Linked DNA regions of Anolis sagrei. The protein of the gene in region 1 purifies or fractionates together with the protein of each later gene. This does not show direct contact. Links are inferred from orthologs where the notes say so. Each region holds a gene or a part of one and is shown in the gene's direction. Other genes may lie near its edges.

What was found.
Region 2: the proteins of HDAC6 (region 1) and DNAJA1 purify together in Homo sapiens (affinity purification with mass spectrometry; 4 studies listed by BioGRID and IntAct, with this or other methods). This does not show direct contact. The link is inferred for Anolis sagrei from reciprocal best matches to the Homo sapiens genes HDAC6 and DNAJA1.

The regions. Positions count from the first base shown.
Region 1 is NC_090022.1:178,367,267-178,378,322, reverse strand, and holds the start of HDAC6 (histone deacetylase 6), read left to right. Parts: upstream 1-5,755; 5' UTR 5,756-5,772; coding exon 5,773-5,919; intron 5,920-5,956; exon of another isoform or gene 5,957-6,049; intron 6,050-11,056.
Region 2 is NC_090022.1:150,546,768-150,558,112, reverse strand, and holds the start of DNAJA1 (dnaJ homolog subfamily A member 1), read left to right. Parts: upstream 1-6,219; 5' UTR 6,220-6,414; intron 6,415-9,269; 5' UTR 9,270-9,283; coding exon 9,284-9,415; intron 9,416-9,904; coding exon 9,905-10,082; intron 10,083-10,566; coding exon 10,567-10,671; intron 10,672-10,800; coding exon 10,801-11,028; intron 11,029-11,345.

The DNA.
Region 1 (11,056 bases):
GGGGTAATGGCTTTTAAGGTTAGACAAGAGAGTTTGTGCTTCTTTTAGGTTCCCCCAGAACTAAATGCTCACTTTTTGCCATTCAGAAAAGGGGTCAGTTCCTTTATTATTTACTGTACCTTGTTGTTTGTTGTTCATTTGTTCAGTTGTCTCCGACTCTTCATGACCTCATGGACCAGCCCACGCCAGAGCTCCCTGTCGGCCGTCACCACTCCCAGCTCCTTCAAGGTCAGTACCTTAACTTAACTGTACCTTAGCTTATTTTAAATGAGAACAATCTTCTTCTTTGAGTAGAGAGATTTATTTATTTGTCGTGTCAGGGCAACCAGCCAATTATATTACATTTCTAACAGAACAAAGCAAACAAACAGACAAAATACAACATTTGTGAGTTTGGTAGCTGATTAAATGTCCTTTGACCAGTATCTGGCCACTTGGAGTGCTTCTGGTGTTGCTGCAAGAAGGTCCTCCATTGTACATGTGGCAGGGCTCAGGTTGCATTGCAGCAGGTAGTCAGTGGTTTGCTCCTCTCCACTCTCGCATGTCAAGGATTCCACTTTGTAGCCACATTTCTGAAGGTTGGCTCTGCATCTTGTGGTGCCAGAGCGCAGTCTGTTCAGCGCCTTCCAAGTTGCCCAGTCTTCTGTGTGCCCAGGGGGGAGTCTCATTTGGTGTCAGCCATTGGTTGAGGTTCTGTGTTTGAGCCTGCCACTTTTGGACTCTCACTTGCTGAGGTGTTCCAGCGAGTGTCTCTGTAGATCTTAGAAAACTATTTCTAGATTTAAGTCGTTGACGTGCTGGCTGATACCCAAACAGGGGATGAGCTGGAGATGTCTCTGCCTTGGTCCTTTCACTATTGGCTGCTACTTCCCGGCGGATGTCAGGTGGTGCAATAATGGCTAAGCAGTGTAATTTCTCCAGTGGTGTAGGGTGCAGACACCCTGTGATAATGCGGCAGGTCTCATTAAGAGCTACATCCACTGTTTTAGCGTGGTGAGATGTGTTCCACACTGGGCATGCATACTCAGCAGCAGAGTAGCACAGCGCAAGGGAAGATGTCTTCACTGTATCTGGTTGTGATCCCCAGGTTGTGCCAGCCAGTAGAAAGGTGAATGGCCTTTTTGAATGCTAGGGTAGGGAAATGTCCTTGGGCAGCTGGATCCCTGAGATGGCATTGGTGCTCACCCGTCTCTGAATGACCCTCAACGTATCTATGGGTCATATTAAAATCCATCATTTTGGCCCTTAAACCTGCCTTTGACTTATACATGAACTAGACTTATACATGAGTGTATATGAATAATTCATTTTTGTATTGCTTAACAAATAATTCTAGCTGCCTCATTTGGGGAGTGCTACAATATTCTGAGAAGAAACCTGGGAGTGACTCTACATTTGTGTATACTGAATGCAAGACGATGTTGCCTTACAACAACCCTGTAAGGAAGATAGATGTTGCTTTTACTCCAGTGTTTCGGGTGAAGGGATTGATAGATTTACTAGAGGTGCAGCGACAGCCAAAAAAATTAATCTTAAAGACACATTTATTGTGGCATAAGCCCAGCGGGGGTAACTCTCTAAATGAGAGCTTTCCGAACTGTGTGTTGTGACACGTCTGTGTGCTGCCTGCAGTGTGTAGCTGTGTTGTGCAAACATACCGAGAAACCTTTGGATCTACATAAGATAAGCAATAAATCATATATATCTATATAAATAAAAATATAATGTTCGTTTGTGGGATTAACATAACTCAAAAACCACTGGGCGAATTGACACCAAATTTGGACATGATACACTTATCAGGCCAACAATTATAGACCAATCTCCAACCTCCCTTTCTTGGGAAAGGTGTTGGAACAGGTGGTCGCCTCTCAGCTCCAGTGTTTCCTGGATGACATCAGCTATCTGGATCAGTCACAGTCTGGCTTCAGGCCTGGTCATGGCACCGAGAGGCTTTGGTCGCCTTGGTGGATGACCTCCGCAGGGAGCTGGACAGGGGGAATGTGACCCTGTTGGTTCTCTTGGATATCTCAGCGGCTTTCAATACCATCAATCATGGTATCCTTCTGGGACGTCTCTCTGGGATGGGTCTCAGGGACACGGTTTTGTCGTGGCTCCGATCCTTCCTGGAGGGTCGATCCCAGATGGTGAAGCTGGGAGATGCCTGCTTGGACCCCTGGCCTTTGACCTGTGGGCTCCCGCAAGGCTCCATTCTGTCTCCCATGCTTTTCAACATCTACATGAAACCGCTGGGAGAGGTCCTCCGGAGTTTTGGAGTTGGGTGCCATCTCTATTCAGATGACACACAACTCTACTATTCTTTTCCACCTAACTCCAAGGAAGCCCCTCGGGTGCTTGATGAGTGCCTGACTGCTGTGGCTGGCTGGATGAGGAGGAACAAGTTGAGGATCAATCCCGACAAGACAGAGGTCCTCCTGGCCGATCGTAAACCGGATCGGGGTATAGGGTGGCAACCTGTGCTGGATGGGGTTACACTCCCCTTGAAATCGCAGGTCCGCAGTCTGGGTGTCCTCCTGGACTCATCACTCATGCTTGAAGCTCAGGCGTCAGCGGTGGCCGCCTTTGCACAATTAAGACTTGTGCGCCAGCTGCGACAGTACCTCGTGAAGGTGGATCTTGCCAGGGTGGTCCATGCCTTAGTCACCTTCAGATTGGACTACTGTAATGCACTCTACGTGGGGCTGCCCTTGAAAATGGCCCGGAAATTCCAATTGGTACAACGGGCAGCAGCCAGATTACTAACTGGTGCTCTTTACAGGGAGCGGTCAACCCTCCTGTTTAAGGAGCTCCAATGAAAGCTGGCTGCCTTTCATTTTCCGAACCCAATTCAAGGTGCAGGATCTTACCTACAAAGCCCTGAACGGTTTGGGACACGCCTACCTGCGTGACTGCATTTCTGTATATGAACCTACACGATCTCTTCGATCATCTAGAGAGGCCCTGCTCATGCTCCAGCCTCTTTCGCAGGCGCGATTGGTGGGGACGAGGGAGAGGGCCTTCTCGGTGGTGGCCCCCCGACTCTGGAACTCACTTCCCAGAGACATCAGACATGCCCCAACTATGGCAGTCTTTAGGAGGAGCTTGAAAACGTGGTTGTTCCAGTGTGCCTTCCCAGAATAAGGAAAACTCTCAGCATTATGTCCTCAAAATGCACTTTACTACTGCTTCAGGATTGACTGCACTCTCTCATTCTCTCTAAAAATCCTATCCCAATTATACCCTACCTGGTTCACATCAGCACTGTTTTTTTAATTTTAATCTATCACATTTGGCCCGGCCTTTGGTTTTAAATGTTTATATGTTACTGTTGATTGCTTATTGTCTGTATTGTTTATGTGATTATGATTTATATTGCATTGATTGTTTATTGATGTTTTCTTTTATTGATGTTCTGTTTACTGATGTGCTGTGGGCTTGGCCTCATGTAAGCCGCACCGAGTCCCTTGGGGAGATGGTAGCGGGGTACAAATAAAGTATTATTATTATTATTATTATTATTATTAGAGGGTTGTTGAATCCCACCTTGCGAGATGGGTCCCCTGACGACTCGGCAGCTCGCTGTGAAGCCTCTGCTCAGTACTTTGCGGACAAAGTCGCTTTGATCCATTTGGGCTTTGACACCACATTAACGGCAGTCTCTGAGGATGTAACACAAGCATCTGCTTGTCCAGTTTTGTTGGATTCCTTTCCATCTGTTCAACTCGACGAGGTCATCAGGGTTCTTGGGGAGGCGAGGCCCACCACATGCATCCTAGACCCCTGCTCTTCCTGGCTGGTAAAAGAAGCCAGAGGGGGTTTGGCAGAGCAGGTAAAGGTGGTGGTTAATGCCTCCCTTCGGGAAGGCAATATTCCAGCCAGCTTAAAACAAGCTGTTATTAAACCGCTGTTGAAAAAAACCATCACTGGACCCCACTCAATTCATCAACTTTCGGCCAGTTTCCAATCTCCCCTATTTGGGCAAAGTCCTGGAACGTGTGGTGGCCTCGCAACTCCAGGAGTTCCTGGTAGACATGGACTATCTAGATCCAGCGCAGTCTGGCTTTAGGCCGGGACATGGTCGCCTTAGTGGATGATCTTCGCCAGGAACTGGACAGGGGGAGTGTGTCCCTGTTGGTTCTACTGGACCTCTCTTCGGCCTTCGATACCATCGACCACGGTATCCCTCTGGGACGCCTCGCAGGAATGGGTCTTGGGGGTACTGCCTTGCAGTGGCTCCGGTCCTTTCTCGAGGGTCGCTCCCAGAAGGTGTCACTAGGGGACTCCTGCTCGACTCCTCGGCCATTGCACTGTGGAGTCCCGCAGGGCTCAATATTGTCCCCTATGTTGTTTAACATATACATGAAGCCGTTGGGAGAGATCATCCGAAGTTTCGGGGTACGGTGTCATCTGTATGCAGATGATGTCCAACTCTGTCACTCCTTTCCACCTTCTACTAAGGAGGCTGTCCAAGTCCTGAACCGGTGCTTGGCCGCTGTAACGGACTGGATGAGGGACAACAGATTGAAACTTAATCCAGACAAGACAGAGGTACTCCTGGTCAGTCGAAAGGCCGAACAAGGTATAGGGTTACAGTCTGTGCTGGATGGGGTCACACTCCCCCTGAAGGCACAGGTTCGCAGTTTGGGAGTTCTTCTAGATGCATCGCTGAGCCTGGAGCCCCAGATTTCGCCGGTGGTCAGGGGAGCTTTTGCACAATTAAAACTTGTGCGTCAGCTGCGCCCGTACCTTGGGAAGTCTGACTTGGCCACGGTGGTCCACGCTTTGTTTACATCCCGTTTAGACTACTGCAACGCTCACTACGTGGGGTTGCCTCTGAAGACTGCCCGGAAGCTGCAGCTAGTCCAACGCTCGGCAGCCAGACTACTAACGGGTGCTGGGTACAGGGAGCAATCAACCCCTCTGTTACGCCAGCTCCACTGGCTGCCGAATAGCTTCCGAGCACAATTCAAAGTGCTGGTTTTGACCTACAAAGCCCTAAACGACTCCGGCCCTATTTACCTCTCCGAACATATTCTCCCTTACGAACCATCAAGATTATTAAGATCGTCTGGAGAGGCCCTGCTTTCAGTCCCACCGGCCTCGCAAGCGTGTCTGGTGGGGACGAGGGACAGGGCCTTCTCGGTGGTGGCCCCTCGACTCTGGAACTCTCTCCCACTGGAGATCAGAACCACCCCGTCTATCCTGACATTTAGGAAACAGGTGAAGACTTGGTTATGGAGACAGGCATTTGACGAGTGAGCCAACACCCTGAGATATGGATGGAGGATGATGAGCAACGATTTTAGTGTGACGACTGACCATTATAGTTATTGATTGTAATTGCTGTTTTAATGTTTTACTGTAATATGTATTATTATGTTTTATTGACTGTATGTGATATTATGGTTGGAAATATCAAGAGAGGTGAGAAGGCCGGTATGCAAAACTTTTAAATAAATAAATAAATAAATAAATATTATGGTCTTCATTTACTCTGACTCAGGTCCCATCTACACTGCCCCATAATGCAGTTTGAATCTGCATTATGTGATTAGTTTGGACCCATATAATAGACTGCATTATATAGGTTTACATTGATCATACAACACAAATCCAAACTGCATCACATGGCGTTGCAGAAAGGGGCACCAACAGCTGCTCCAACACGCGTTTACAAAATATGTGGCTGGACGCCCCTCTTCAAGGCAAATGGTCTCATCCAACCCCCTCCTCCTCCTTTCACATACTGACCGCTTTCTGTCTGTCTCTTCAATGGTCTCGCCCACTTTTCAAAGCCACGCCCCTTTCGAGCGGAATGGTCTCGCCCAGCTTCCACCCGGTTGTTCCAGTGACAGCATCAGGCGGCGCCCTGGGCGGAACCAAGTCCCCGCGCGAGAGAGGGGGGAGCGAGGTCTCCAGGTAAGGAGGTGACACGCCCCCCCCACCCCAAGGCGAGCTGGGGAAGGGGCGCGGGGAGGAGGTGGCCTGCTTTTCGGTTGCCCTAAACTGCCGCCTCCCTCCTGCTTTCCTTTGGCAGATCTCCCAGCTGGTGAGTGGATCAGGTCCTGCTGCAGGCAAGCAAAGCCCCTGGGTTGGGCATTGCCTTTGAACTTGAGCTCTCAAGCTCTCTCTCTTTGTATACATTGGTTGCAGCAGTACATTTAGTGGGAGGGGGCACATGTCTTCCTTCCTTCCTTCCTTCCTTCCTTCCTTCCTTTCTCTTTATGCATGTGCCTTCAAGTCACTTCTGTATTCATAGCAGGTATTTTTTTGCTACATCCTCCCTGGTCTGGGTTGGTGGTCTCCCATCCAAGTACCAGCCAAGGCTGGCCCTGCTTAGCTTCCAAGATCAGGCAGGATCTGGGACCTTTTGGGTATTTTAGGGTGTGTATAATGTGTGTGTTCAACTTGCTTGTCCATTTGTGGCAACTCCTTGACTTTTCCCAACATTTATCCTCAAAGGCGGATTCTCCAGCTCCTTTCTCTGGTCTATGTTGATGATCTCCAGCCCAAGTATGGCTTGACTTCCAAGATCAGATAAGATTGGGTGTAAATGTATTGTCGAAGGCTTTCATGGCCAAAATCACTGGGTTGTTGTAGGTTTTTCGCGCTGTATGGCCATGTAATAATAATAATATTAATAATAATAACTTTATTTATACCCCACCACCATCTCCCCAAGGGACTCGGAGCGGCTTATATGAGGCCAAGCCCAACAACACATCAATAAAAACAAGAAAGCAATAAACAAAAACAATACAATACAATACGGTTAATATAGAATCATAGAATCAAAGAGTTGGAAGAGACCTCATGGGCCATCCAGTCCAACCCCCTGCCAAGAAGCAGGAATATTGCATTCAAATCACCCCTGGCAGATGGCCATCCAGCCTCTGTTTAAAAGCTTCCAAAGAAGGAGCCTCCACCACACTCCGGGGCAGAGAGTTCCACTGCTGAACGGCTCTCACAGTCAGGAAGTTCTTCCTCATGTTCAGATGGAATCTCCTCTCTTGTAGTTTAAAGCCATTGTTTTGTGTCCTAGTCTCCAAGGAAGCAGAAAGCAAGCTTTCTCCCTCCTCCCTGTGGCTTCCTCTCACATATTTATACATGGCTATCATATCTCCTCTCAGCCTTCTCTTCTTCAGGCTAAACATGCCCAGCTCCTTAAGCCGCTCCTCATAGGGCTTGTTCTCCAGACCCTTGATCATTTTTGTTGCCCTCCTCTGGACACATTCCAACTGGACACATTATATAAATCACATATAAACAATAAAAAATAACACACAAGGATTTAAAAACCTATGTAATAGTTTAAAATTTAAAAAATAAACACTGGGCATGAACAAGGTAGGATATATCTGGTATAAGGGTTTTAAAAGAAATGAGGGGAATGCAGTCCAACCCAATCTAATAGTAAAGTGCATTCTGAGGACATATTGCTGGGAATTTTTCCTTATTCTAGAAGCATTCTCTCCTGACATTTCGCCTGCATCTATGGCAGGCATCCTCATAGGTTGCGAGGTCTGCTGGAAACTATGACATTTGGATTTATGTATCTGTGGAATGGATTGTTGCAGATTTTTTCAGGCTATATGGCCATGTTCTAGAGGCATTCTCTCCTGACGTTTCGCCTGCATCTATGGCAAGCAACCTCTGAGGATGCTTGCCATAGATGCAGGCGAAACTTCAGGAGAGAATGCCTCTAGAACATGGCCATATAGCCCGAAGAAACCTATAACAACCCAGTGATTCCGGCCATGAAAGCCTTTGACAATACAAATTGAGCATGCTTATCTGGAAATCTGGAATCCTCCAAAATTAGTGAAACCTTTGCATCTATGGCAGGCATCCTCATAGGTTGTGAGGTGTGTTGGAAACTACGAAATTTGGATTTATATATCTGTGGAATGTCCAGGGTGGGAGATTGGGTGCCTATTTATTTACCCCATCTACACTGCAATATAAAATCCAGATTATCTGATTTGAACTGGATTATATGGCAGTGTAGACTAATATAATCCAGTTCAGTGCTGATAATCTGGATAATATGGCAGTGTAGATCCGGCCTAAGTGTGTGTTTTCAACTTGATTTCCCCAGTGTTATCTCAGCAAGGCACACTCAGGTGATTATGCTGTTTCTTTCCTCATAGGCCCCTTCCGCACAGCCATATAACCCAGATTTTCAAGACAGATAATCCACAATATCTTCTTTGAACTGGATTATCTGAGTCTACATTGCCTCATAATCCAGTTTAATGTTAATTTTACACAGTTGTGTGGAAAGGGCCTAAAATAGCACCTATATAGGCAAATCCAGGGCATCAGATTCTGTCTGATCTTGGAGGCTAAGCAGGGTCAGCCCTGGTTAGTACTTGGATGGGGAGCACCAATGAATTCCATGTGTTGTAGATCTTATTTCAGAGGAAACCACTGGCAAAACCACCCCTGATGGTTCCCTGTCTTAAAAAAAACTTAAATGTATAGGTATTGTTGAAGGCTTTCATGGCCGGAATCACTGGGTTGTTGTAAGTTTTTTCGGGCTAAATGGCCATGGTCTAGAGGCATTCTCTCCTGACGTTTCGCCTGCATCTATGGCAAGCATCCTCAGAGGTTGTCATAAGTCAACAGGCGACTTGATGGCACATATACAAACACATAACCACATACTGCCATCTCACCTGGGGCCCTGGATGGCATTGTGTGCTTTGTCAAAACGAATGATTTCCTTCCGCCACCCTTTTTCTTGCCCCCTCTGCCAATGCAATGGATTCAGTGCCTGACTCTGATGAATGTGTGAATGGTGGCACAGGAAAGCCAAAAACGGTCATTCCAAAGGTTCAGATTCCAATAGGGCCGTCTTGCGCTTGTCTGCTTGGAAATAAATCTCCAAATCTGGTCAATGTGTGCTTAATCTCTGGTAACTATGCACCAGATTGCAGCCTGGATTCCTTCTGCTCAAATTGAGAGCTTGAGATGAATCAGGGTTTGGAGAAGGAGGAGTGGGAATCTACTGCACACAATGGAGACAATGCAAGAGGGAAAGAAAGGGGCTTGGCTTTAAGAGGTGGGGTCGATAGGAACAGGGTTTTTAGTTCTGAATTGGTTTTTATGGATTTCAACTGAATTTTTGTAATACCAATGATATTTAATTCTGGTTTATTGTTTATATATTTGTAGATTTTGTATTGTATTGAAAGGCTTTTAATGTAAGCTGCTTTGAGTCTCCTTGTGGAGAGAAAAAGCTGGGTATCAATAAACTAAATAATAATAATAGTAATAATAATAATAATAATAATAATAATGGAGCCATTCAGACTGGCAGTGGCAGAAAGATCATAGTGTAAACACAGGTATCATCAAATGTTCATAAGAGGACATTTCTGCACCTGTCACTCAAAGTGCATTTGGGCATCTCTGTTGTATGTTGGTGTGCAAGAAACATAGCTCTAAGTGCACTCATTTGGAGACTTGTAAGGCGAGTGGATTTATTTATTTATTTATTTATATACCGCTTTTCTCACCCCGAGGGGGACTCATAAGTAATGGCAAAATTCAATGCCAGTACAAGCAATTACAATTATATACTACAAAATTAGACATAAATCAAGTTAAAAACAGTACATCAATGAGCAATAAAACAATAATTAAAACAATAAAGCAGTCTCGTCTTTCGAATCGCTGTTCCAGTCATTGTCTTTCTGAAATGCTGCATACATTTACTTCTACTGCCCAGAGGTCTGGTTCCAAAACTATGATTTTAATTTTTTCTAAAAGCCAGGGGGGAGGGAGCAGATCTTACCTCATTTGGGAGTGTGTTCCATAGGTGGGGGGCCACAGCCGAGAAGGCCCTGTCTCTCATCCCCGCCAGACGCATCTGTGCTGTTGATGGGAGCGAGAGCAGGGCCTCCCTGTATGATGTAGATTATGAGGTGGGATGTAGGTATGGATGTGTTTGGACAAGTAAGCTGGGCCAGAACCGTATAGAGCTTTATAGGTCAAAACCAGCACTTTGAATTGGGCTCGGAGATGGACCAGCAGCCAGTGGAACTGGCATAGCAGGGGGGTGGTATGCTCCCTGTATGCCGCCCCAGTTAGTAATCTGGCTGCCGCCCGTTGAACTAGCTGAAGTTTCCAAACCGTATTCAAAGGCAGCCCCACGTAGATTTTAGATCCCATTACAATCCTGTAGCCTGTTTTGGTGTCTGTTGTGAATGCAGTCATCCCTCATGGTTTTGACTTTTGTGGGCTTGTTTGCAGCTCAACAACATACATTCTTGGTGTCCTGCTTGTTAAGTCTGTTCCTTAGTTTTTTGGGGTGCTAATTTGGAAAATTGCATTGGATAGACTGCATCAGCTCTAGTTTCTTAGATATGGTTATCATGTGGGTTTTTTTTTTCTTATGGGTGAGCAAATGGTGACTGGTAATGACATAGGTTTTGCATTCAAGAAACTAGAACCGATAAGGGGAAAGCTGGTGCCTTTTTTGGAATCAGCTGGTCAAATATATCCAGAAAAAGGGTTAACATTTGAGGCACCGAAACAGGTATTGAACAGTGTTATTTATAGATTTGTTCTTTCAAGGAATCTATAGATCTTTGAGTGTGACTCTGTGACCAACTTCCTCCATTCATGTTGGAGGATCTAGACATTCCTCAAGAGGTATTCTCTCAAGTAAAAATAAAAGCAATTTCTTTATTTGCAGTTTTTCACTTTCACGGGGGCCTGCACCTTATCCACAGATAATATGGAGGGTTGACTGTAGAGTTTTACTATCAGGAGGACATTTTTTCCTGCTGAAAAAGCCTTCCCTTGATCCCCTGGACCTTAATACTTACAGACCAGTGTCTAACCTCTTTTTTGGGCAAGGTGATTGAGAAGGCAGTTGTCCTCCAACTCCAGGTGGTGTTGGATGACACACACTTTCTTAACCAATTTCAAACTGACTTCAGAGCAGGATATGGAGTTGAGACTGCTATGGTCGCCTTAGTAGATGTTCTCTGTTCCAATAACGATATGGGGAGCATGTCCCTTTTGGTATTTCTGGACCTCTTAGTAG
Region 2 (11,345 bases), about 28 Mb from region 1:
GCCACAAAGCCTTAAACAACACACTCACCACCTTATAAACAAGTACCCAGCCTTTAAACAAGAGACAAACAAAACACTCAGCTTTCTAATGCACTCTAAAGGACAAGGCTTACCTTGAGCTAAATGGCTTCCTGCTTCCTCTTCAGTTGCTGGAGCGAAATATTGAAAAACTGCCTGAAAAATAACCAAAACATACAAATATTCCTTTATAGAGGAATAAAGCAGAAAAGGTCTGATTGGCAATATCATAACAGAAAAAAGCCACATGACTTTCCTACAGCCTCAATCTGAGGAACAAAGGACAAAGAAAAAGCAAAAAATAAAACCAAGGCCAAATGCTTCTTTTCCAAAATATACAGGGATATTATTAACAGTGATTTAATCTGTATGTCTCAAATAAGGCTTTGAGAGAAAAACAAGTTTTTTGTCTTTGCCATATTAAGTTTTAGGTGGCAGTGAAACATCCATGCTGAGATGGATGAAAGAAAGGCTGATGTTCAATCTCAGAAGTAAGTTCTACAACTGAAAAAATTAGCATTACTAAAACTCATAAGAACAAATAAGATTACTCAAAGATAATACATGAAGAAAATAACAAGGGACAACTACAGAACCTTGTGGAAACCCAATTGAGAATGCATCTACATTGTAGATTTAATGCAGTTTGACCCCACTTTAATTGCCATGGGTCACTGCTATGTAATCAAGGGGGTTATATAGTTATAAGGTCTTTGGCCTTCTTTGCAAAGGGTATTGTCCATCCACAAACTACAAATCCCAGGATCCCACAACAGTGAGCCATGTCAGCAAAATTGGGGTCAAGTTGAATTAATACTAGAGTGTAGATGCATCCTCAAAGGGGAAAAGATCATAATCTTTCTTTGCTCCAGAGCTCAAAGTGCAGACATAGAAGGAGGGCAGGCATAAAATCATGGACAAACTTGTCTATTTTAATATATGTTAACTTTATTCAATTTAAAACACCAATACAGGCAGTCCCCGAGTTACAAACATTCAACTAACAAATGACTCATAGGTGCAAACGGGGGGTGAGACAACAGGAAATGAGAAATCTACCCCTAGAAAGGGAAATTCACTCCTGAAAGGGTTATCATTGGGGGGGGGGGGATTGTCTCAACTGAAGCTTTATGACCAATCCTTGTTTCCATAACAAGCCAAATGTTTCAAAATTCAGTTATCACAGGGACAGAAAGTGAGATGAAATCCTCTGAACAGGGGCACAAGGGTATTAACCCTTCCCTATGCTATCCAAGGCTAACACACACACACACACACACACAGCCGGAGTTACACTAAAATGTACTGTATCTGTTCCTACATAGAAATTCAACTTAATAACAAAACTACAGAACCTATCTAGTTCACAATTTGGGGACCATCTGTAACAACTTAATTATTACAGACGTCTCTCTTTTGGCATAAATCAAAATGGAGATAATTTTCATCTTACTAAGAATTATTTCAACATATTATTTCCTTTCTGAATTAAACTGAACAGTGGAGCCCAGCTCCTGAAATACTGAAAATAATAATTAATCTAGGCTAGTCTAATCTTGTACCTGCTTAAGAGTTCTGCACTTGCAATATTCAATGAGGATCAATTCAAACGGATCTAGATTTTAATGAGCTTGTTATGAAAACTAGACTGGCCACAGGTCAACTGGAATTAATAGTGTTTTGTCTGTTTCGGTGCAGAATCTCACTCAACAAAAGAATTGAGGCTGGATAGGAGTTGTAGATACTGGGATGTATAGTTCACCTGCAATCTAAGAGCACTCTGAACTCCACTAACAATGGACCTGGAACTAACTGCCATACAATTAAATTCAAAGCAGATAATCTGGATTTGGAAACTGGATTAAATGGCAGTGTAGAAGGACCTCAGATCCAATTAGGCCTGAGTCACACTGTTAATACAATAACATCTTCTATCTTCTATCTATACACATAATAAAAGTGAAAATATGTATATGTGTTCGGCTGGGGTGTCCACTTACACAGACAAGTCCTGACTCCACAAACAGCTATAGCTCCCACTACTCAGGAGACACCAAAAGCCGTCCCTTCAATTACATTGCAGTTTATAGTGAGTGCCGTGAATATATACAAGAGCCATGCCAATGTCCTCCACAAACACCATACTGCCTACCGCCCAAGTGAAGGCTTTCATATGGGGACAATTTCATTCTAGAGTTTACGTGTTTCTTCCTCCAGAGACATCCCAGTGTTTCTTACTCTCTCCATTGGTATGGAATTTGCATGACCCTGCCCACTGCATCTCCCTTAACTATTTCCTATTATTTTCTATGGCACACATCAAACAGAGGAATTGATCAGCAACTGAACATACTAGAGAGGTCTGGGGAGAATTCACCATGAGTTATTAGTTGTAGGTACTGGGATGTATAGTTCACCTGCAATCTAAGAGCACTCTGAACTCCACTACAGACGGACCTGGAACTAACTTGACACACAGAACCCTCACAACAAACAAAAAATACTGGAGGTCTTTGGAGGGATTTATAGGAGTTGGATCTGGACCAGACTTGGCATGCGTACCCTATATTCCCAGATTTGAATACTGGTGGGTTTTGAGGGGAATTGGCCTAGCCATTTTGGAGTTGGTAGGTACCGGGATTTATAGTTCACCTGCAATCAGTTAGCACTCTGAACTCCACCAAAGATGGAATTGGACAAAACTTGACACACAGCCCCCATTTCCAGCAAAAAAATAAATAAAAATACTGGAGGTCTTTGGGAAAAATTAACATTGATTTGAGGGAGTTGTAGTTCACCTATATTCAGAGAGCACAGTGAACCCAAACACTGATCGATCTGGACCAAACTTGGCACATACCCAATATGCCGAAATTTGATTATTGGAGAGGTGGGGAGAGCGCGGGGGGGGGGGGGGGGGAAACTGACCTTCCTTTCTAGGAGATGTCATTCACCCACAACCAGAGAAATAGTGACCTCCACCGATAATGGACCTGAACTTGACACACAGAACCCCCATGACTAACTCAACCTACTGGAGGGGTTTGAGGGTACAGACTCACCATAGTGGGAGGTGTAGTTTATGCTGCAGCCAGAGAGCACACTGAACCCCACCGATGATGCATCTAGAGTAAACTTGCCCAACATAACAAACGTTAAGTACTGATGGAGATTTTCGGGGTTAACCTGGCATGCTGTGAGTTGTAGTTCACCCACAACCTTATGCACTTTGTATAACTTAAAAATTGACTTTTTCAAATAACCCAGGCAATGCCAGGTACCCAAGCTAGTTTATGGGAATATAATATTAGTATATTACTGCCTTAGGAATATATTATGTATTGAATACAATTATTAAATAAAATTATTGAATATGCTGAATGGTTTTTAATTGTGAATTTTAATACTGTTTATATTTAATTCCGTTTTAATATTTGAATATTTGTATATTTGAAATTGTGTACTGTACTAATGCTTTTATATCAAGCCACTTTGAGTCCCCTTTGGGAGAGATAAAGCTGGGTAGAAACAAATATAATATTAATAATACTATACTATGATAATGGATGAGTTGGAATATAAATGCACTGAGTAGTGTGTATGGAAGAAAATGCCAAATTAGAAAATACTCTTAGGTATTGTGGCCACATTATGAGGAGACAGGAAAGCTTAGAGAAGACAATGATGCTGGGGAAAATGGAAGGAAAAAAGAAGAGGGGCCGACCAAGGGCAAGATGGATGGATGGCATCCTTGAAGTGACTGGCTTGACTCTGAAGGAACTGGGGGTGGTGACGGCTGACAGGGAGCTCTGGCGTGGGATGGTCCATGAGGTCATGAAGAGTTGGAAATGACTGAACGAATGAACAACATTGTAGGAAATATTGCTGGTTGGCCTAATAAAGGCAAGAGCCTCCAAAATGAATTTTGGCGTTTAACGGCAGACATTTGAGGCTCATTCTACATAGTTGTATAAAATACACATATAGCTGGAATGTGTCCAGAGGAGGGTGACTAAATGATCAAGGGTCTGGAGAACAAGCAGGCTTAAAGGAGCAGCTTAAAGAGCTGGGCATGTTTAGTCTGAAGAAGAGAAGGCTGAGAGGAGACATGATAGCCATGTATAAATACGTGAGCGGAGGTCATAGGAAGGAGGGAGCAAGCTTGTTTTCTGCTACCATGGAGACTAGGTCGCGGAACAATGGCTTCAAACTACAAGAAAGGAGATTCCATCTGAAATTTAGGAAGAACTTCTTGACTGTGAGAGCCGTTCAGCAGTGGAACTCTCTGTGTGGTGGAGGCTCCTTCTTTGGAGGCTTTTTAAACAGAGGCTGGATGGCCATCTGTCGTGGGTGCTTTGAATGCAGTTTTCCTGCTTCTTGGCAGGGGGTTGGACTGGATGGCCCATGAGGTCTCTTCCAACTCTATGATTGTGTATGACAGTGTGTCAGATATTTTAGTTCAAAGCAGATATTGTAGATCATCTGAGTTGATATTCTGGATTGTATGGACCTTAGGCTCCTTGCATACAGCTATATAAAATCCCACATTGTCTGCTTTGATCTGGGTGGGTTATATGGCAGTGTGGACTCAGATAACCCAGTTCAAAGGAGTTATTGTGGGATTTTGATATTCTGGGGGCCCTTCCACACAGCCATATAACCCAGAATATCAAGGTAGAAAATCCCACAATATCTGCTTTAGTGGGTTATCTGGAGTCCACACTGCCACATATCCCAGTGCAAAGCAGATAATGTGGGATTTTATTCTGCTGGGGAAGAGGCCTGAGTCCACACTGCCCTATAACCTAGTTCAATGTGGATTTTATATAGTTGTGTGGCAGGGGCCATAATACTGGTATTGTACTATGCTAATAATATAATATATATATTGTGTATATATATCTATATATATTGCAACAAGATTATGGCAACAAGAATGATTGACAACTGGAAAATAGAGGGAGGAAATGTGGAGGCCGTGACAGATTACTGCAGACGCAGACTGTGGCCAGGAAATCAGAAGACACTTACTTCTTGGGAGGAGAGCAATGTCCAATCTTGATAAAATAGTAAAGAGTAGAGACATCACACTGGCAACAAAGATCCGCCTAGTCAAAGCCATGGTATTCCCTGTAGTCACCTACGGATGTGAGAGCTGGACCTTCGGGAAGGCTGAGCGAAGGATGATCGATGCTTTTGAACTGTGGTGTTGGAGGAAAGTTCTGAGAGTGCCTTGGACTGTGAGAAGATCCAACCAGTCCATCCTCCAGGAAATAAAGCCCGACTGCTCATTGGAGAGAAGGATACTAGAGACAAAGTTGAAGTATTTTGGCTACATCATGAGGAGACAGCAAAGCCTAGAGAAGACAATTATGCTGGGGAAAGTGGAAGGCAAAAGGAAGAGGGGCCGACCAAGGGCAAGATGGATGGATGGCATCCTTGAAGTGACTGGACTGACCTTGAAGGAGCTGGGGGTGGTGACGGCCGACAGGGACCTCTGGCGTGGGCTGGTCCATGAGGTCACGAAGAGTCGGAGACGACTGAACGAATGAACAACAACAACAACAATATATAGCAAGCTGCTCTTAGTCCCCTTCGGGGCGAGAAGGGCGGCATATACATATCTATATAAATAAAAATGTAATGTTCGTTTGTGGGATTAACATAACTCAAAAATCACTGGATGAATTGACACCAAATTTGGACACAATATACTTATCAGGCCAACAAGTGACCAATACTCATAAAAAACACTGAAAAACACAGAAGAGACATAAAACAGGGAAAAAAATTAAAAAATTATAATGCAGGTGCAAAATCACATATACACATATATACAGAGTGGGCCACAGCAACGCGTGGCAGGGAACGGCTGGTCGTAAATAAATAAATATGTTGTATGGCTGTATGGAAGAGCCCTTAGATTCGCCTGAAAGGTGAGTAAAACTACCCTTGTTAATAAGACCACGCCACCTGCAATGAAGCCAGACTTCTTTGTGAGGCGCGTTGCATTCTGGACGTCGAAGTCTTTCTGACAGGGCCAAAGAAAGGTATTCACGGGGGAGAGGAGGCATGCCGGGATTTGTAGTCCCCGGCGGGCGACGTCACGGCCAGGGAGGCTTATGATTGGGGGTATGCCACGGTTTGCGAGAAAGCTGGCCAATAGCAGCGCCTGGAGAGGAGGGCGGGGCTTTCTTGAAAGGGAAAGGAAACTCCCCGGATGCTGCCTAGCCTAGCCTGAGACCGGCTCGGAACTTTCCAGAAAAAGTCAGCGCGAGAAGGAGAAGGAAGAAGGAGAGGAGGCTCGAGCCGGCTGTTAGAAGAGAGAGAGAGAGATAGAGAAAGAGAAGACAGGGCTGCTTTCATTGTAAGCCTGCGTTTGGGTCGAAAGCGCGAGTGAGTGAGGGACAAAGGAAAAGCCGGGTGGGGTGGGGGTGGGGTTGGGGTTGGGGGTGGGGGAGGGGTCTCCTCAGCTACCTTCCCCCCCCCTCCTCTAGTTCTCCACAAAGAGAGGGCGCGCGGGAGAGAGAGGGAGGGAGGGAGGGAGGGGGGAGCGCGCGACGGTTAGGTCAGCTGACTCCGGGTTCTGAGAGAAGGCAGAGAAGGGGATTTGGCGGGAGGGAGGGAAGGAGAAGGGAAGGGAAGTCGGGCCTTCGTGGGTGAGGGAAGGGGGGGGGGAGAGAAAGAAAGCGGAGTCGTGGAGTGGGAGACAGCGCCCTCCACACAAGGGACCCCTGCAAATGGGACTGCAGTGGGTGCCCCTTCTGTGTCACGTGATGGAGCGAGGGAGGCCCTTTTACATAACAGTCTGTGGGGAAGAAGACCCCCCCCCCCTTGTAAAGTTGGGAGCCTTCCACACACAGCTGAATAAAATCCCACGTTTTCTGCTTTGAATTGGAATATATGGTAGTGTGGACTCAGGGTACTTTCCACGCAGCCATATTGCAGGACCCAGGATATCAAGGTAGGAAACCTCACAATGTCTGCTTTGAACTGGAATATATGGCAGTGTGGACTCAGGGCCCTTCCACACAGCCGTATTGCAGGACCCAGGATATCAAGGCAGGAAACCCCACAAGATCTGCTTTGAACTGGTATTCTGGATCATATGGCTGTGTGGAAGGGCCCTTATTCTAATTGCTATTTGACACAAGAAAAGAGTTAGGGGGTGTTTTTTTCCACGGAGGCTCCAGTGGCTCTATTATCAGGTGGGGCTGGAAAGAGAAGCAATGAGGGGCAAACTTGGTTTGCCTGAAGCACCGCTTTCCCAACATTTCTTTAGTCACAGCATCATTTCGCAACACAGTTGTTCTGTTTTTAATAGCTAACTAGAGGTAAACCAATCCCGTTGAAGAGAATACAGGCACCTTCTCAACATGATAAGAGTACAAATCAATAAACCTACAAGGAGAATCATCATGTATGGCAGGCATGGGCAATCTTTGGCCCTCCAGGTGTTCTGTATTTCAACTCCCAAATTCCTAGCAGTTTATGGCTGTTCGAAATGGTGGTGGTTGAAGTCTGAAACACCTGGAGGGCCAAAGGTTTCCCATGCCTGATGTATGTGACAACAACAGCAAGTGCTGGTAGATGTAGACCTTTAAAGCCCTAGACCAGTGGTTCTCAACCTGTGGGTCCTCAGGTGTTTTGGCCCACAACTCACAGAAATCCCAGCTAGTTTACCAACTGTTAGGATTTCTGGGAGTTGTAGGCCAAAACACCTGGGAACCCACAGATTAAGAACCACAGCTCTAAACAGTTCAGGTCCAGGCTATTTGGCCAGCTGCATACCCTTGTATGAATCTGCCCCAGCCTTGAGATCTTCAAGAGAGGCCCATCTCTCGGGGCCCTTCCACATGGCTATATAACCCAGACTATCAAGGCACAATACCCCACAATATGTGCTTTGAATTGGGTTATCTGAGTCCACGCTGCCATATATTCCAGTTGAGAACAGGGAATATATGTGGGATTTTATTCAGCTGTGTGGAAGGGGCCTCAGTCCCACCTCCATCTGAAGCTCAGAGAGAGTGGGCCTTCCTTCTCCGTAGGTGGGTGCTTCAATACTCTGGATCTCCCTTCTTCCTAGGGAAGCCAGAATGGTCCCCTCCCTGCTGTCCTTCTGGTGGCAGGCTAAAACCTTCTGAATCAGGCAGGTTTTTAAAGAAGGTTTTTAAGATTTAGTTATGGGGTGCTGTGGTTTTAAACTTTGAATATGTTTTTATGGATTTTAATGTATTTTTTTAGTGCTACCTGTGTTTTTGTTTTAATGTGTATATATTTGTACATTTTAAATTGTGTACTAATACTACTGCTCAAGCCACTTTGAATCCCCTTTGTGGAGATAAAGCGGGCTATAATAATAATAAAATAATAACAATACAAATGAATAAACCTGTAAGGATTATCATCATGTATGTGATTACAACAGCAAGGATAGTATTGGCAAAAAAGTGGAAAATAACGGGAGTACCTTCTAATCTATGATTGACAACTGAAATTAAGAGAAGCCATGGAAATGACAAATTTACTAGAACAATGAAGGGGGGGGGGGTCTCTAAGCAAGGTGCTGAAAAGTGGGAGAATGTAGATAAATACTTGAAGGAATAAGTCATCTCTGTGAATAAAAATAAGTATTGGCTATTTAAGATTTAAGATTCTGCTTTTTCCTAAATGGGATGCAAGAAGACTTAGGAAAAATTTCAACCTCGAAAGGAAGGAAGTATTGTTTTTGTAGTTATAGTTTATTTGGATTATGTTATGATTGATTGTTTTGTGTGTTGTGTTTTCTTTGTATTTTATGGTGTAGTATGCTTTTGTTTCTTTCTGAAAATCAATTAAAATGTTAAAAAAAAGGAGATAAAGACACACACATATATTGTAATAAAGGAAAGTATGGGGGACACAACATATCACATGAAAAGCTTCTGTTTGTATATTTTTAAAAATGTATATATGATTTGTAAGATGACATACATTTCCAAGATTTACTGTATGTCATTTCTCATTATGTTTGCGTTACACATCTACACATGACAGCCGACATACTAAACAGTTTGGAAAGCTCTGGTGTAGATAATCCAGAGTAATTGGTGCGCAGAGTGAGGCAGCGCAAGAAGATACAAGTTTGGTCTCACCAGAGGTCTCTTTATGGGCACAGTCTTTGAGGAAATAAGGAAGTGGGCTGAACTCATGACATCATAAATTTTGCATTCCTTTTCTAGTTTTAATTTTCATCTTTCCCCTTCCAGGTATCTATTGCACCATGGTGAAGGAGACTACATACTATGATGTGCTTGGGGTAAAACCCAATGCGTCCCAAGAGGAACTGAAAAAAGCTTATAGGAAACTGGCATTGAAATACCACCCTGATAAGAATCCAAATGAAGGTGAAAAGGCAAGTGTGCAAGCTCACTCCCTCCTAAATATTTTGCTTATTAGCTTAGTAGATGGTTCTGTATTGTCTCGTTCGGACTTTGCCTCATTTTTGTGAATGGGTTGGATTCTAATATATCAATATTATTTTCAGAACCTGAGAAGCTTAATAGCTCTTTTCAAATTTTAATGGTATTCATATCTCCACTTCAGAATTTCCCTGTTAACATGGGAACACCTGGGGAAAAGCAGGATCCTGAATTTGTTTTCACCTTTTGTAAATGTCATGGTGCAGCTGCACTCTATGATTTTTACTTCAAAAATTGCAGGTTGGGTTTTAGCATAGACGACTTAACGCCGAGAACTAATTTTGCTAAATGGTATGCTATTAATCTCTAGCCACTTCCTTGCCCTTAAGCAGTTATAGTGGTACAAAGTAAATATTATAGTGATATAAATTACTTTCTGTAAAATAAGATTTCTCTGATTTTTGTTCTTTTTGTTCTTGTAGTTCAAACAGATTTCTCAAGCTTATGAAGTTCTTTCTGACATCAAGAAAAGAGATTTGTATGATAAAGGTGGTGAACAAGCCATTAAAGAGGGTGGTACTGGAAGCAGCTTTGGGTCACCCATGGATATATTTGATATGTTCTTTGGAGGAGGCGGGCGAATGCAACGAGAGAGGAGAGGTAATGTACAACTTTAGTTGAAGTAGTTCACAGTAGCCTTGGCTAATAAGCAAAAGATAAACTTAATGTTAGGATAATGTCTGTTTTCATTTATAAAGTACCTCAAGTGATATAGGCAGGACTACAAAATAATTATATGTTGCATTCTGCATGGATTGTTAATTGATGTAAGTTTACTTGGAAGTATTCCACTGAGTTTCAGTTATGCTTTCCATATGTGTAGAATAGGCAGAGAATTGCATCCTTAGTTTGTTTGTTGGTTCTACCTTCCCTCTCAGTAAGGATCAAGCACTACGACTCTCACTCACATTGCTTTGTGGGAGAACCTGTTGACCTTTTTAAGTGTAGCTGCAATACCAGTCAATGTTTGTCCTTATAGTGACTTCCCACAGTGGAGAAAATTAGAATCAGAAGCATGGATCTGAAACCTCAATAATGAAACTCTTTGGAGCATTTCTCATCAAATGCCTGCTTTTCCTTACAGGTAAAAATGTTGTTCATCAGTTGTCAGTAACTCTAGAAGACCTATACAATGGAGCAACACGAAAACTCGCTCTACAAAAGAATGTGATTTGTGACAAATGCGAAGGTATGTTGGTACAAAAATTTCAGTTTATTCAGTAAAAATTGACATCCATGACAAATATATGTAGCAAGTGAGTGAGGGAGGAGACATACATGGTATTTTCTACTCTTATTCCCCTTTGTTCTTCTATAGGCCGAGGTGGCAAGAAAGGTGCAGTGGAATACTGCCTTAATTGCAGAGGAACAGGCATGCAAGTAAGGATTCACCAAATTGGGCCTGGAATGGTTCAGCAAATCCAGTCAGTGTGTATGGAATGCCAGGGCCATGGAGAGCGCATCAGCCCCAAGGATAGATGTAAAAGCTGCAATGGAAGGAAGATTGTTAGAGAGAAGAAAATTCTTGAAGTCCATATTGATAAAGGTGCGTATCATACTTTGGGTCTGTCGTTGTAATGCTTATTATTATGAGCCACTTTGAGTCTCTGTATGGAAAGAAAAAGTGGGATATAAATAAACATAATAACAATAAATCAGTTGCATTGTGTTTGTGTGAATTATCACAGAGAAACTGGATCCTGGAACTTTCAAATGAGCAGTAAGGCGCTACTAGTGTAGAATACTAGACAGTAGAAATAACTTCAGAGTACAATAACTAGTCAGGAGAATTATTGATGAGCCTGTACAATGAGAATAATAAACGTCGTTGTTCCATGACTGTCAGAAAGTGTCCTCAGTCCA